Linked DNA regions of Anolis sagrei. The protein of the gene in region 2 purifies or fractionates together with the protein of the main gene of each other region. This does not show direct contact. Links are inferred from orthologs where the notes say so. Each region holds a gene or a part of one and is shown on either strand. Other genes may lie near its edges.

What was found.
Region 1: the proteins of BRAF (region 2) and RPTOR purify together in Homo sapiens (affinity purification with mass spectrometry; 3 studies listed by BioGRID and IntAct, with this or other methods). This does not show direct contact. The link is inferred for Anolis sagrei from reciprocal best matches to the Homo sapiens genes BRAF and RPTOR.

What each region holds. Positions count from the first base shown.
Region 1 is NC_090022.1:130,447,421-130,454,493, reverse strand, and holds the start of RPTOR (regulatory-associated protein of mTOR), read right to left. Parts: upstream 3,002-7,073; 5' UTR 1,708-3,001; coding exon 1,546-1,707; intron 1-1,545. UniProt on the Homo sapiens protein: Component of the mechanistic target of rapamycin complex 1 (mTORC1), an evolutionarily conserved central nutrient sensor that stimulates anabolic reactions and macromolecule biosynthesis to promote cellular biomass generation and growth.
Region 2 is NC_090025.1:173,530,072-173,537,492, forward strand, and holds the start of BRAF (serine/threonine-protein kinase B-raf), read right to left. Parts: upstream 3,017-7,421; 5' UTR 2,803-3,016; coding exon 2,590-2,802; intron 1-2,589. UniProt on the Homo sapiens protein: Protein kinase involved in the transduction of mitogenic signals from the cell membrane to the nucleus. Phosphorylates MAP2K1, and thereby activates the MAP kinase signal transduction pathway. Phosphorylates PFKFB2.

The DNA of each region.
Region 1 (7,073 bases), on a different chromosome or scaffold from region 2:
GAAATGAATATTCGCCATGCTTAATATAAGAATTTATTTCAAAAAACAGTATTTGGTCAGCTTTTTAGAATCTAATCATCATTAACATTTGGGGCACAACTCATTCCAAACAAAAAGCTTCTAGAAGCCTTCCTGACTGGAATGAAAGGGGCAAGTAAGAAAGTATGGATGAACTCAGAGAAGGCTAAGCTCCTTTACAATCACATTAAAATGAACTTCGGCATGTTAGCCACAAACATTTGTTTTAAGTTTAGCAATATCTAATTACTGTTTTTAAAATAAAAAAAACAGTTACACTACCATTTATAATATACAATTTTATAAATAACATCTACAATAAACCATTAAACAAAAAGTCATATATCCTGCTTACAGCACTAAGTTGTCTTGGATACTCCCAAAACCCATAAATCCTACTTCTTGTGTTACAGAAAAAGTAGGTTCTGACAGACCACAAGATGCATTCAAGAAGCTTTAGAAGTTCTAAATCACTATTCATTTCCATATTACGACTTCATATGCATAGAAAAGAGATGCCATAGAAAAGCTTCTCCCAGCACTTATACAGTTTCCACAGCAGCTGTACCAGAACAGCACTTTACCACAGTGAATGAGCAAGGAAGAAAATATCTCTTTTTAGCACTGTGAGACTAGTACTGATTTATTTACATACTGATGCTGTGAAACAAACCATGTAATCAGGGTCACAGACAGCTGTATATTCAGACACATTTCAAATGAGGCAACATTCCAAGTTATTTTGGTTAATTTTTTCACTTGCTATAAAGATAAGTTCCATACTGCTGTTAAACATAAACCCTACTTTTGTAAATCAATATAAGGGAATACTTTAGGAGTTGATTTGACTGATAAGTTTTCCCACTAGCTATCTCTCTCAGAAATGTCTTCATTCGCTGATTATCTAAACTTCCTCAAAGGCAACATAATAATTAACAAATAATTCTAGAATGCCTAACAACAGCAATTTGACTGTATAATCTTTCCTGCAAAAAGTTAGCAGGAGAAATAATTGAGTCTGGAACAGAGATTCTATAATTTCTTGTGGATTTCCATTTCTAAAACAACCAGAACAACACCATTGTATAAATAAATTTTGTTGTGTATAATTTTCATAAATGTTGTCACTCTCATTTTTAGCTTCATTAAAAATGAAATGTCCCATGTGACACATGGTTAAGGAAATAGAACTTTAAATTCACTAATAGAACAAATCTGTACATGACACTTCCACATGAAGCAATCTCCATCCAGATACTTGCCAAGTAAATGTTAAGACCTCATTTTAATTAACTTAGAATTAATTCATTTTCAAAGAAGAAAAAGCAAATTATTTAAACCTAGTGATTTGGTGCCGTGTTAGCATGCAGTGTTGGCTACATTTATTGAGTGTTCAACACAAAATAAATTAATAGAATTCAACCAGGAATGTACAAGACCTACAGAAAAAGTGTGTAGAATCTAGTTGAACAGAACATGCAAATCTTTTCTTTCTCCCAAACAAAAACTGTAACTAGAGATCATTACCCTGTCTTTCATCCGCCAACTCTGAGCCAGTGATTTGGAGCCTTCAATCTTCTCACAGTGCCGCTTCTTCATGAAGGCCAAAGGCAGATTCCAGTCAGTCATGTCTGATTCATCTTCCTCCCCAAGCCCCAGTAGGGGAGACTGCAACATATCTGACTCCATGAGAGGAGAAAGAACCAAGGGAACCAATGATCAAAAGTCAAGGATCAACAAAGTATGAGCAAAAAAGCTATTAGGAGAGCAAGGGAACCTCTCAACTGCAGTTCCAGGTGACGCTTCAGGGAAAGGTGTCTTGTTCAAATGCTGTTGTTTGTTAAAGTGTGTAGAAATATTCTCTTTTCAGCAGCGGGGGGGGGGGGGGGGGCTTTCCAGTTTGGAAGAAGCAAGCTTGGTGAGTAATGCAATCACGATACAAGAGACAACTATCTTGCAGGAAATGGATGATCACTGTCTAGCTGAAGAATCAAGTCACAGATGTGCATGGAGGTTCTTTCTCCCACTCACTTTCTCAAATAGGGTGTGCAATTGCGAAATGCCTCTCAATCTAAACAAAACATAAAAGTCATTTCAAATCACGAAAACAATGTTCCACAATAGAGACTGCTTAGTTCATCAAGATGGGCCTACAAGTATTTTAGGCAGAAGAATGTGATTCTAGTAAAGAACTCCAACCACTGCAAGGAAGGAACAAAGTATAAAAGCAGGATGACAGCAGGTCAGGAGGAGTGACACTGGGAAATTGTGGCCAAGGGAGGACAGGTGAAGTGAGGATACTCAGCTGCAGAGTCACACCAGAAGCCTCCTTTCAAGTGAAAAGGGGAAGCTGTTGCTGGGAGCGTGTCCCTGTTAAGGGCCCTTTTGTGGGGTGCTCTTAGGGGGATGCTTGCAGAAACGGGTGGTGCTTCTGGGTCCAATGGGAAGGAGGTCCGGGGCGCCACAACCGGAGCGACGATGGGGGAACTGCAGAGACAGGCCCTGGCCAAAGGACGACGAGGAGCGGCAGAGCTGGCAGGGACCGGGGCTGCTTGGCGCCTCTGTGCTCCAGGCCTGGCTCGCTTCTCCTGGCTGAGAAGACCACGCCCACCCTCGACCAGGCCCAGTCCGGTCCAGGCGGCGGCGGGCAAGCTCTCCTTGCCGGGAGGCCTCTCTCTCTGGCGTGGGCCGGCGAGGGGAGCACGCTCCTACCCCCGAGGCGGTGCCTGCTCGCTGCCCGGCCGTTCCTCCTCCTGCTGCTGCTGCTCCTGCGATGGGGGTCCCGTCCGCCGCATCGCCATCCCCGCCGCGGGCAGGTGGCGGCTCCTCTCCCTGGACAAAAGCCCCGGGCTGCCGGGTGAGGAGAACGGGAGGGAAACGTCCCGGAGAGCCAAACTCGCCTCAGCAACTCAACAAGGAGGCAGCCATATTGCCGAGGCCCACAATGCATCACGGCGACGGGCCGCCGGCCGGCTCATGCTGAGTGAGATGCGTTCGGTACGGGCGAGTTCAAGGGAGGGAGGAGCAGCAGCAGCCGCCAGAGGGTTGCCGGGGCAACGCTCCAAGCATTCGCCTGGCCTTTCGGCTCCGGGAGGGAGGGAGGGAGGGAGGGGCTGCCCACTCGCCCACCCCCCCCCCCCCAAGGCCCAGGAAGGGACATGGATCCTCACGGCTGAGAGCTATGATGAGATTCTTATAAATAAGTAAACTTACGGTATCAGGCGGCCTGAGTGTTGGGTCACGGTGCAAGTTTGCTGTAGAATTACTGCGATTTGACACCACTTTAGTTGGTATGGTGTAATGTTATGGTCTCCTGGGAGTTGTAGTTTGCCAATGTCTTCAACCTTCTCTGCAAAGAGTGCTGGTGCCTCACTGTGCTCCAGATCCCATGGTGATGTAGCACTGAGCCATCAAAGACACCAGACCACCACCCCCAATCAGGCATGTAGCCGGGAGGGGGGGGGGCTTGGGGGGCTTCAGCCCCCCCCCCCCGAAATTCTCAGGGTGGTCCGCGAGAAGACCTTACTGGTACATTATTTAAACTGTTATGTTTATTCATATCATGATCTGATCACCATGCTCAATATATCCCATATGTATGGGGGTATTGGGGTAATGATACAAAAGGTTTGCTAGGGTAGGGCCTCTTTCACTCAGACTCACCCCCCCCCCCCCGAATCAAACTCACCCCCCCCCCCCCCCCGAAACAAAATCCTGGCTACAAGCCTGCCCCCAATAAAATATATACACAAATCAAACTCAAGGATTTATAGTTTTATCAAGGATGGAGGACCCACTGGGCTAAAAGCAGTCTCCATCCTCATAGTCATTCTGCAACAATACAGAATGAGGGATGTTTGGCTCGACATGTGAAAAAGATCTTGGAGTCCTCGTGGACAGGAAGGTGAACATGAGACCACAATGTCATGCGGCAGCTTAAAAGGCAATGGGATTTTTGCTTGCATAAATAGGAGTATAGTGTCTAGATCCAGGGAAGTCATGCTCCCCCTCTATTATGCCTTGGTCAGACCACACCTGAAATGTCCAATTCTGGGCACAGCGATTGAAGGGAGATGTTGACAAGCTGGACTGTGTGCAGAGTAGGGCGACTCAAATGATCAAGGGTTTGGAGAACAAGCCCTATGAGGAGTGGCTTAAGGAGCTGGGCATGTTTATTTATTTATTTATTTATTTACAGTATTTATATTCCGCCCTTCTCACCCCACAGGGGACTCAGGGCGGATTACAGTGTACACATATATGGCAAACATTCAATGCCAATTTGACATGCAACATATACAGACATACACAGAGGCTATTTACCTTTTTCTGGCTGCCAGGGGAGCTGTCGCTTTCATCGTCCTTCTGCGACACTGATGAAGTACTTCCGCATTCCTCGCATGCTTTTGCTGGAGTGCTTTGCTGGAGTCTTTTTTAAGGCCTCATAAATTGGTTAATTTAGCCTCCCCACACAAGGTGGTACCTAATTTTCCTACTTGACAGATGCAACTGTCTTTCGGGTTGCAAAGGTCGACAACAGGCTACACAATTGGTTGGAAGCCCACTCCAACCCGGGCTGGCTTCAAACTCATGACCTTTTGGTCAGAGTGCTCTTAATGCAGCTGACAGCCAGCTGTGCCACAATCCCTTCAGTCTTCTCTCAATTTCTTTGTGCTACTGAAACAGAGTCCCACGGAGGCTATCACATGACACCAGGCCACTTCCAATGGTTGCCTGTAGGACTCTTTTGTGACAACACAGAGAAACAGGGGGAAGACTGTAAAATGACAGATAAGAGAGAGAAAAGAATAACGATAAGTAGCATAGATTAGGTACGCTCAATAGTTTATGGTAGAGGAGTAGTACCATTAAAATAATTCTTAACCACCTTTAGTCTCCTTCACCGTAAAGCTGCCAGCATCCCAGTGGCCTTAATCCAGGATATACCTTTTGTTCAAGTAGTACAGGTTGATTAAATTTATCTATTTCTAGATATGTTTAAATTGGCAATTGTAAAACTAAGAGCTCCTCTCAACCTGTTTTCTAAATGGATATATATTATTAAGAATATTGTATCTTGAACCCATTTTTCATAAAAAGCATAATTGTGTGTGTGTGTGTGTGTAACCATCCATTTTCAAGGCACTTTACAAGAAAACACCCCCAAATGGAGGGTTCTGTCAGTGGCTTACAATCTCAAATATGCAAATGTAAAGGGATGACAAGAATCATAAAACTTTACAATCTAATTGTAAAACAAATTATCTGAATAAAATACAAAATATAATATTAAACTAACATGTCACTCAAGCATCAGATTTTCTAAAGCAACAATTTTTTATATCCTTTGTGTTATTTGATACACATCAGTCTTTCTCTGTTAAAACATATAGTTCATGTCAGATAGCGGTAATTTGGGGTATGACCTGTTGAATTATCACATCTGAAGGCATATCATTTCAAATATATGGCACGAGGCCTAAAAGCTTTTAAATGTATTTTTTCACATTGGAAAAAGCTCAGATAACATGCCTTAAAAAGCTTAGAAAATGTAAACGACTTTAAAATAAAGACATAGCTGGCACTTCACTGTGCCTCCAAAAATTGTTGGTTTTATATATGTGTGTATTTATTTAAAACAGTTATACCCCGTCCTTCTCAACCTCCGAAGAGGGACTCAGGATGGCTTTCAACAGGCAACCATTCAGTGCCAACACAATATAAAACATATCATAAAATACAACCATATACATTAAAACGGTTATAAATATACATTAAAAGTGGTTCGCCAAGTTAAATTCGTCATCCAAATGCAAATTAAAAGAAAAACTTATAAATGGGGTTGACTTACATATGAGCTTGACTATACCGTAGTTGATCACTTATGAGTCTATATTTGAGTCTAAACAGTAAATCTAATGTAGGGAAACATTTCCCTTTCATATGTTTTAGCCTTCCATCCACCCCACCCAGCGTCACCAATGGTAATAAACCTTGGGAACTATATGTCAAAAGATTTAGGTGACCAAAGGTTCCCTTACCACTGGCTTGTTTATAGCAATATCTTTCTAAGCTCTGACACTTCAGCCCTGACTTATGACTCAAATTCTGCTTCTTCCTTGACAGGTTTCAGTTCTTTATTTTTATTCCCAAAGGTGTGTTTCAGACTTACAGGTCACCTTAGTTGGCTGCCTACAGGTCAGTTCTCATAAGGCTTCTGTGTGCAGAAGAACTGTTTTGATGAATCAGACCAAGTTTCATCTACTCCAACATTCAAACAATCACCTGCCAGGTGCGCTAGAGGTTCATAAGAAGGGCAGGAAGGCAAAGGTCCCAATCTGTTGTTTATTCAGAGCATCTGGTACTCAGATGTTTACAACTACTGGTCATGGAAGGTTAAGTCTCATGACTTAAAAGTGTTGATCACTGCAACCTCCAATAATCTGTCTAGGCCTTTAAAAACCCATCTAATTTAGCAACCATAACCACAATTTGCAGTAATTACCTTGACAGGTGTGAAATACTTTATTTTGTTTGTCCTGAACTTGATGTCAATAACTTTATTGGATCAGCTTGTGTGAGAGAATACTCACCACCCGCTGCCAACCCCCCCCCCCCCCCCCCGGCATCTTTTTGATGAACCAGAAAGCCCCAAGCTCTTGTGAGTTGTAAGAAGCATTCATGAATATTCTGCCCTGAATCAGCATAACACCAGAAACAACCTTGAAGTAGCTTGAATTGTAGGGCACTGAAGTGGAGTTTGTTTTTGCAATGCAGTATTCAAACTACTAGTTTTATCAGGAGTTCATTTGAATTCTCAGCAATGATCTTCCTTGGGGGGAAAAATCTTGGGGTGTGCCTTCAGGTGATAATGGGGTGAAACAATGAGCATTTTGCTAGGTCATATGTTATTTAATTAACATGGTAATATTAGAATGTCAGAAACTTGCACTGAATGACAAGGCACAAAGAATATATCATATATGTTTTCTTTTGTCTAGTAAACATTTGGTGCCTGAAATGTTAGACCTGTTTCTGGGTATTTTTGACCTGCT
Region 2 (7,421 bases):
GGATGGCAAATGTTTTGTATCAGAAACTAGAGCTGATGTGGTCTATCCAATGCAATTTTCTGAATCCGCAGCCCAAATAACCAAACTGAATCTGAAGTTGACCAAAAGCTGATTTGTAACCCTTTTGGTACTAATGTTGGAGAGTGGTCCCTGGTCAAAAAAAGGTTGGGAACTACTGGTCAAGGTGGAATAATTTTCCCCGCAATCCGAATCCAGTGCTCTGTATCCTAGTCTCAGGAGCAGCAGAAAACATGCTTTCTCCCTCCTCCATGTGACATCCTTTCCAGTATTCAATCTGGCTATCACGATCCCTTTCCAGCCTTCTCTTCACACTAGTTGAAATGGAATCACTTTTCCTGCAATCTGAATCCACTGCTCTGTATCCTAGTCTCAGGAGCAGCAGAAAACATGCTTTCTCTCTCCTCCACGTGACATCCTTTCAGGTATTTAATCAGGCTATCATGTCCCCTTCCAGCTTTCTCTTCACAAAGCTAAATACACCCAGCTCCCTAAGTTGCTTCTCAGAGGGTTTGGTTTCCAGACTTTTGACCCGTTCGTCAATATCCTTCTTAAACTGTGGTATTGTCTAGAGACTGACACAGTATTCCAGCTGTCTGTCCAAAGCAGAATGTGTGTGTGTGTGTGGGGGGGGGGTGTCTATGACTTCACTTGACCAAGACACTAGACCAGGGGTCCTCAAACTAAGGCCCGCGGGCTGGATACGGCTCTCCAAGGTTATTTACCCAGCCCTCACTCAGGGTCAACCTAAGTCTGAAACAACTTGAAAGCACACAATAACAACACCAAACAACAATAGTACTATCTCATCAGTCAAAAGCAAGTCCACACTTCCCATTGAAATACTAATAAGTTTATATTTGTTAAAATTGTTCTTCATTTTAATTATAAGTGTATGTTGTACTAAAAATAAGATAGATTCATAGAATCAAAGAGTTGGAAAAGACCTCATGGGCCATCCAGTTCAACCAAGAAGCAGTAATTTTGCATTCAAATCACCCTTGACAGATGGCCATCCCACCTCTGTTTAAAAGCTTCCAAAGAAGGAGCCTCCGCCACACTCCGGGGCAGAGAGTTCCACTGCTGAACAGCTCTCACAGTCAGGAAGTTCTTCCTCATGTTCAGATGGAATCTCCTTTCTTGTAGTTTGAAGCCATTGTTTCGTGTCCTGGTCTCCAGGGAAGCAGAAAACAAGCTTGCTCCCTCCTCCCTGTGGCTTCCTCTCACATATTTATACATCACTATCATATCTCCTCTCAGCCCAGGCCCGTAGCCAGGATTTCGTTTGGGGGGGGGGGGGGGCTGAGTTTTTTTCAGGGGGGTTTTCGGGGGGGGGCTGAGTTTTGGGAGGGGCTGAGTCTGAGTGAAAGAGGGTCTAGCCTAGCAAACCTTTGGTATCATTACCCCAATACCCCCATGCATATGGGATATATTGAGTATGGTGATCAGATCATGATATGAATAAACATAAGTTTAAATAATGCACCAGTAAGGCCTTTTCGCGAACCACCATGAGAATTTCAGGGGGGAGGGGGCTGAAGCCCCTCCGAGCCCCCTCCCCTGCTACATGCCTGTCTCAGCCTTCTCTTCTTCAGGCTAAACACGCCCAGCTCCTTAAGCTGCTCCTCATAGGGCTTGTTCTCCAGACCTCTGATCATTTTAGTCGCCCTCCTCTGGACACATTCCAGCTTGTCTTGAATTGTGCTGATATGTGCAGTGTGCACAGGAATTCATTCATGTTTTTTTCAAATTATAATCCGGCCCTCCAACAGTTTGAGGGGCTGGATTATAATTTGGCCCTCTGTTTAAGAAGTTTGAGGACCCCTGCACTAGACTCCAATGGATGCAGCCTTGAATTGCATTGGCTTTACAAGTTGCCAGGCATGTAGCGGGGGGGGGGGGGGGGGGCTTGAGGGGCTTCAGCCCCCCCCCCCCCCCCGAAATTCTCATGGTGGTTTGCGAAAAGGCCTAACTGGTGCATTATTTAAACTGTTATGTTTATTCATATCATGATCTGATCACCATGCTCAATATACCCCATATGCATGGGGGTATTGGGGTAATGATACAAAAGGTTTGCTAGGCTAGACCCTCTTTCACTCAGACTCAGCCCCCCCCCCGAAACTCAGCCCCCCCCCCCCGAAATGAAATCCTGGCTATCCGGGCCTGTGAGCTGCTGCATCATAGGATTGAGCCTTCCCGTAATTCCCTCCCCTAATTTCACAAGACTATCATTGTATCTCCATCAGAAGACATTGGATGTGTCTACACGAGGCATGGGCCAACTTGGCCTCTGCAGGAGTTTTGGACTTCAACTCCCACCATTCCTAACAGCTTAAGCGGCTGAGGGGGGAAAGGAAAGGGTCTGAGCCGGTTAGGAATGGTGGGAGTTGAAGTCCAAAACACCTGCAGGGCCCAAGTTGGCCCATGCCTGGAGCAGATGCACTTCCAAGCTCCTTTGGCCTGCGCTTGCAAAGCCGGGGCCTCAATGTAGCAAAGCGAGGGCAAAGGGACTGCCTCGGGATGGATACCAGGCCGGTTGCCGTCGTTGCCGAGCCCAGCGGGCCTCACCTCCTCCGGCACGGCCGGGTCTCCCCCTGCGGCGCTTCCCTCTCCTGAGAAGCCCTCTGGCAGAGGCGGGAGCGGCGGTAGGGGCGGCAGCGGGGGCAGAGGCGGGAGCGGCGGCAGCGGCGGTAGTGGCGGCAGCGGCGGCAGCTCAGCCTCCATGTCCCCGTTGAAGAGCGAGGCCCCCTCGGCGTCTCCGTCGCTGCTCACCGCCGCCATCTTGGAGCGCGCGGAGAAGGAGGGGGAAGAGTCGGGGGAGGGGGGCGGCGAGAGCGACCCGGCCGCCCCCAACCGCGACCCGTAGTTGGAGAGGGGGGCGGGGCCACCGAGGGGGAAACAGGAGAGGGAGGAGGAGGAAGACTGAGAAGAGAGACCCAGGCCACCAGCCGCGGCCGCCGCACGTCACGCCCCCGGCCGTGACGTCACCCGGAATCGCCGCGCATGCGCGACGGGACGTCAGCGGGAAACACCCTGACATCACGCCGAGAGGGCCCCCTCCCCTCCCCTCCCCACCTCCCTACGTCACCCAGGGAACCCGGAAGGCGGGGATTCCTTGGCCACGCCTCCTTCCTCATCAAGTCTATTAGGAGCCCCCGGTGGCGCAGTGGGTTAAACCCCTGTGCCGGCAGGACTGAAGACCGACAGGTCGCAGGTTCGAATCCGGGGAGAGGCGGATATGAGCTCCCTCTATCAGCTCCAGCTCCTCATGCGGGGACATGAGAGAAGCCTCCCACAAGGATGGTAAAAACATCAAATCATCCGGGCGTCCCCTGGGCACGTCCCCTCCGCACAGCCCTATATCCCACAATAGGAGGTCCATGAATGCCTGAAATCCAAGCAGTGATTTAAATTGGGGAAAAGACACCAGGGTGGGTTGTTTACCTGCTTCCCAACACTGCTGTCCTAAAGGTATGTCCATCACCACCCACACTTACTTCTGACTTGTTATGTTATAATACAGCACTGCCTGAACATAAAGCAAAAAGTAGATGCTAGAAACAATATCATACGAAAGCTGACTGGCACAACCTGGGGATCACAACCAGACAGAGTGAAAGACATCTGCCCTTGTGCTATGCTGCTGAGTACACATGCCCTGTGTGGAACACATCTCACCACACTAAAACAGTGTGATTGATTGACTGACTATTGGAACACGGAATAATGGATAACGAGTTTTGGATTCTGATTTCATTGATGAGACCTGATGGATTTGTTATATTGATGTAGTGATGTATTGATGCTGATGTTTAATGATTTGTGATGCTATTGCTTTTAAATGCTTAATTGATTTTGTATTGTGTATACCTAAATTGTTGTAAACCGCTTTGAGTCGCCTAAGGGCTGAGAAGAGCGGTATACAAATAAATTAAATAAATAAATAAACAAATAAAACAGTAGATGTGACTCTTACTGAGACATGCCGCATTATCACGGGGTGTCTGCGCCCTACACCACTGGAGAAATTACACTGCTTAGCCGGTATTGCACCACCTGACATCCGCCGGGAAGTAGCAGCCAATAGTGAAAGGACCAAGGCAGTGACATCTCCAGCTCATCCCCTGTTTGGGTATCAGCCAGCACATCAACGACTTAAATCTAGAAATAGTTTTCTAAGATCTACAGAGACACTCGCTGGAACACCTCAGCAAGCGAGAGTCCAAAAGTGGCAGGCTCAAACCCAGAACCTCAACCAATGGCTGATACCAAATGAGAGACTCCCCCCTGGGCACACAGAAGACTATGCAACTTGGAAGGTGCTGAACAGACTGTGCTCGGGCACCACGAGATGCAGAGCCAACCTTAAGAAATGGGGCTACAGGGCGGAATCCACGACATGCGAGTGTGGAGAAGAGCAAATCACAAACCACCTGCTGCAATGCACCCTGAGCCCTGCCACATGCACAATGGAGGACCTTCTTGCAGCAACACCAGAAGCACTCCAAGTGGCCAGATACTGGTCAAAGGACATTTAATCAACTACCAAACTCGCAAATTTTGTATTTGGTCTGTCTGTTTGTTTTGTTCTGTTAGAAATGTAATACCATTGACTGGTTGCCCTGACACGACAAATAAATAAATACGGTATGTTAGCTAAGCATCCCTGGGAACAATATTCCACAATTGTGATTTTATTCCATGCAGCTGAATAAAATTCCACGTCATCTGCTTTGAACTGGAATATATGGCAGTGTGGACTCAGATAACCCAGTTCAAAGCAGATATTGTGGGATTTTCTGCTTTAATATACTGGGTTATATGGCTGTGTGGAAGGCCCCTAAGACAGCAGCAAGTAGAAGGTACTACTCCTGAGTACTTAATAAAAGTTAATCAAACCAAAGAGCTATCTGGTTCTTACATAGTTCCCAAACAGTGGCCTATAGGAAGCCCACAGCAAGAGACAAAAACAGAGCTGCCCTTCTTCTTATATTCCCCAGCAAATGACACTCCGGGCCCTTCCAGACAGCCCTATATCTCAGAAATCAAGGCAGAAAATCCCACAGTATCTGCTTCAAACTGTGTTATCTGAGTCCACACTCAGATAATGTGGGATTTTCTGCATTGCTATTCTGAGATTTTCTTACGTACTTAAGAGGAGCTTTTGCACAACTAAGACTTGTGCACCAGCTGCGCCAGTACCTTGGGAAGTCTGACTTGGCCACGGTGGTCCATGCTCTAATTACATTTCGAATAGATTACTGCAACACGCTCTACGTGGGGCTGCCTTTGAAGACAGTTTGGAAACTTTAGCTAGTTCAACGGTCGGCAGCCAGACTACTAACTGGGGCGACATACAGGGAGCACACCACTCCCTTGTTGTGCCAGCTCCACTGGCTGCCAGTCCACCTCCAAGCCCAATTCAAAGTGCTGGTTTTGACCTATACAGCTCTATACGGTTCTGGCCCAACTTACTTGTCCGAACGCATCCACCGCTATGTCCCACCTCAAAACCTAAGATCATCTGTGGAGGCCCTGCTCTCGCTCCCATCAACAGCACAAATGCACCTGGCAGGGACGAGAGACAGGGCCTTCTCAACGGTGGCCCCCTGCCTATGGAACACACTCCCAACTGAGGTAAGAACGGCCACCTCCCTCCTAGTTTTTCGAAAGAAACTAAAGGCATGGTTTTGGGACCTGGCTTTTGGACAATAGATGCAAGCAGCACTTTAAGGGAATATGACTGGAATGACGATATGGCTGATGAGATTGTTTTACTGTTTTATTTATTTATTTATTTATTTATTTATTTACTGTATTTGTATACTGCCTTTCTCAGCCAATTGGTGACTCAAAGCGGTTTCCAACAACTATGGCTTATGTATCATTAATTATGCTTTTATGTCTAATTGTGGTTTTAATTTTGTAATTTGTTATGTAATGGCTTCGGAATGGGGCCCATTGTAAACCGTCCTGAGTCCCTCTTCGGGGGTTGAGAAGGACAGGATAGAAATGTGAGAAATAAATAAATAAATAAATAGTACTTACTTAGGTGATCCCTCGTAGCTCGAGGATGATGGTCTTCCAGATGTAGTGTCTTGGCGGTGGGTCTGTAGGTGGCTGTGGAGCCCTATCTGCATGTTCTCCCGCATTGAGGACATGGGTTTCCAGACGGAAGATGGTCCCGGTCAGGGTTGGCTTGACGCACCTTCCTCTTGGCATGTTTCTTCCTTTCACCCTCCATTCATGCCTCTTATTTTGGGATATATTTATTTATTGTATCAGGTATCAGGTATTGTATTTATCGTAGTCACCTATGGATGTGAGAGCTGGACCGCAGAGAAGACTGAGCGAAGGAAGATAGATGCTTTTGAACTGTGGTGCTGGAGGAAAGTACTGAGAGTGCCTTGGACAGCGAGAAGATCCAACCAGTCCATACTTCAAGAAATAAAGCCTGACTGCCCATTGGAGGGAAGGATAGCAGAGGCAAAGATAAAGTACTCTGGCCACATCATGAGAAGAAAGGAAAGCTTAGAGAAGACAATGATGCTGGGGAAAATGGAAGGAAAAAGGAAGAAGGGCCGACCAAGGGCAAGATGTATGGATGGCATCCTTGAAGTAACTGGATTGACCTTGAAGGAGCTGGGAATGGTGACGACCGACAGGAAGCTCTGGCATGGACTGGTCCATGAAGTCACAAAGAGTCGGAAACGACTGAACAAATGAACAACAATCAGGAGCGAACCAAACAGTTGTATTGTATTTTTAGAAAAAACACACAAAGTTTGAAAACATTACTGGGTCCCAGTTTGTTTGTTTCTTTGGTGTCCCTTGATTTGAAGATAGCCAGTAAGTTAATTTATCCATATTTATTATCTCCAGGACCTCGTTCTGCCATTCCTCTCTTTTTGGTATCTCTTTTGATCTCCAGTTCTTCGCAAATACAATTCTGGCTGCCGTGGCCAGAAAATTAAACAAAATCTCTTTGTTTTCATCTTCCTCCAGGTTCAGCATTCCTAGTAAGAAATATTCTGGCTCTTTTTGGATTTTCATTTTTAGATATGAAATTTTAGAAATAAAAACTTGGCATTCTACTAAATGGTTTTTGACCAGTAGCTGGCCACTTGGAATGCCTCTGGTGTCGCTATAAGAAGGTCCTCCATTGTGCATGTGGCGAGGATCAGGTTGCATTGCAGCAGGTGGTTTGTGATTTGCTCTTCTCCACGCTTGCATGTCGTGGATTCCATTTTTTAGCCCCATTTCTTAAGATTGGCTCTGCATCTCGTGGTGCCAGAGCGCAGTCTGTTCAGTACCTTCCAAGTTGCCCAGTTTTCTGTGTGGCCAAGGGGGAGTCTCTGATTTGGTATCAGCAATTGATTGAGGTTCTGGGTCTTAGCCTG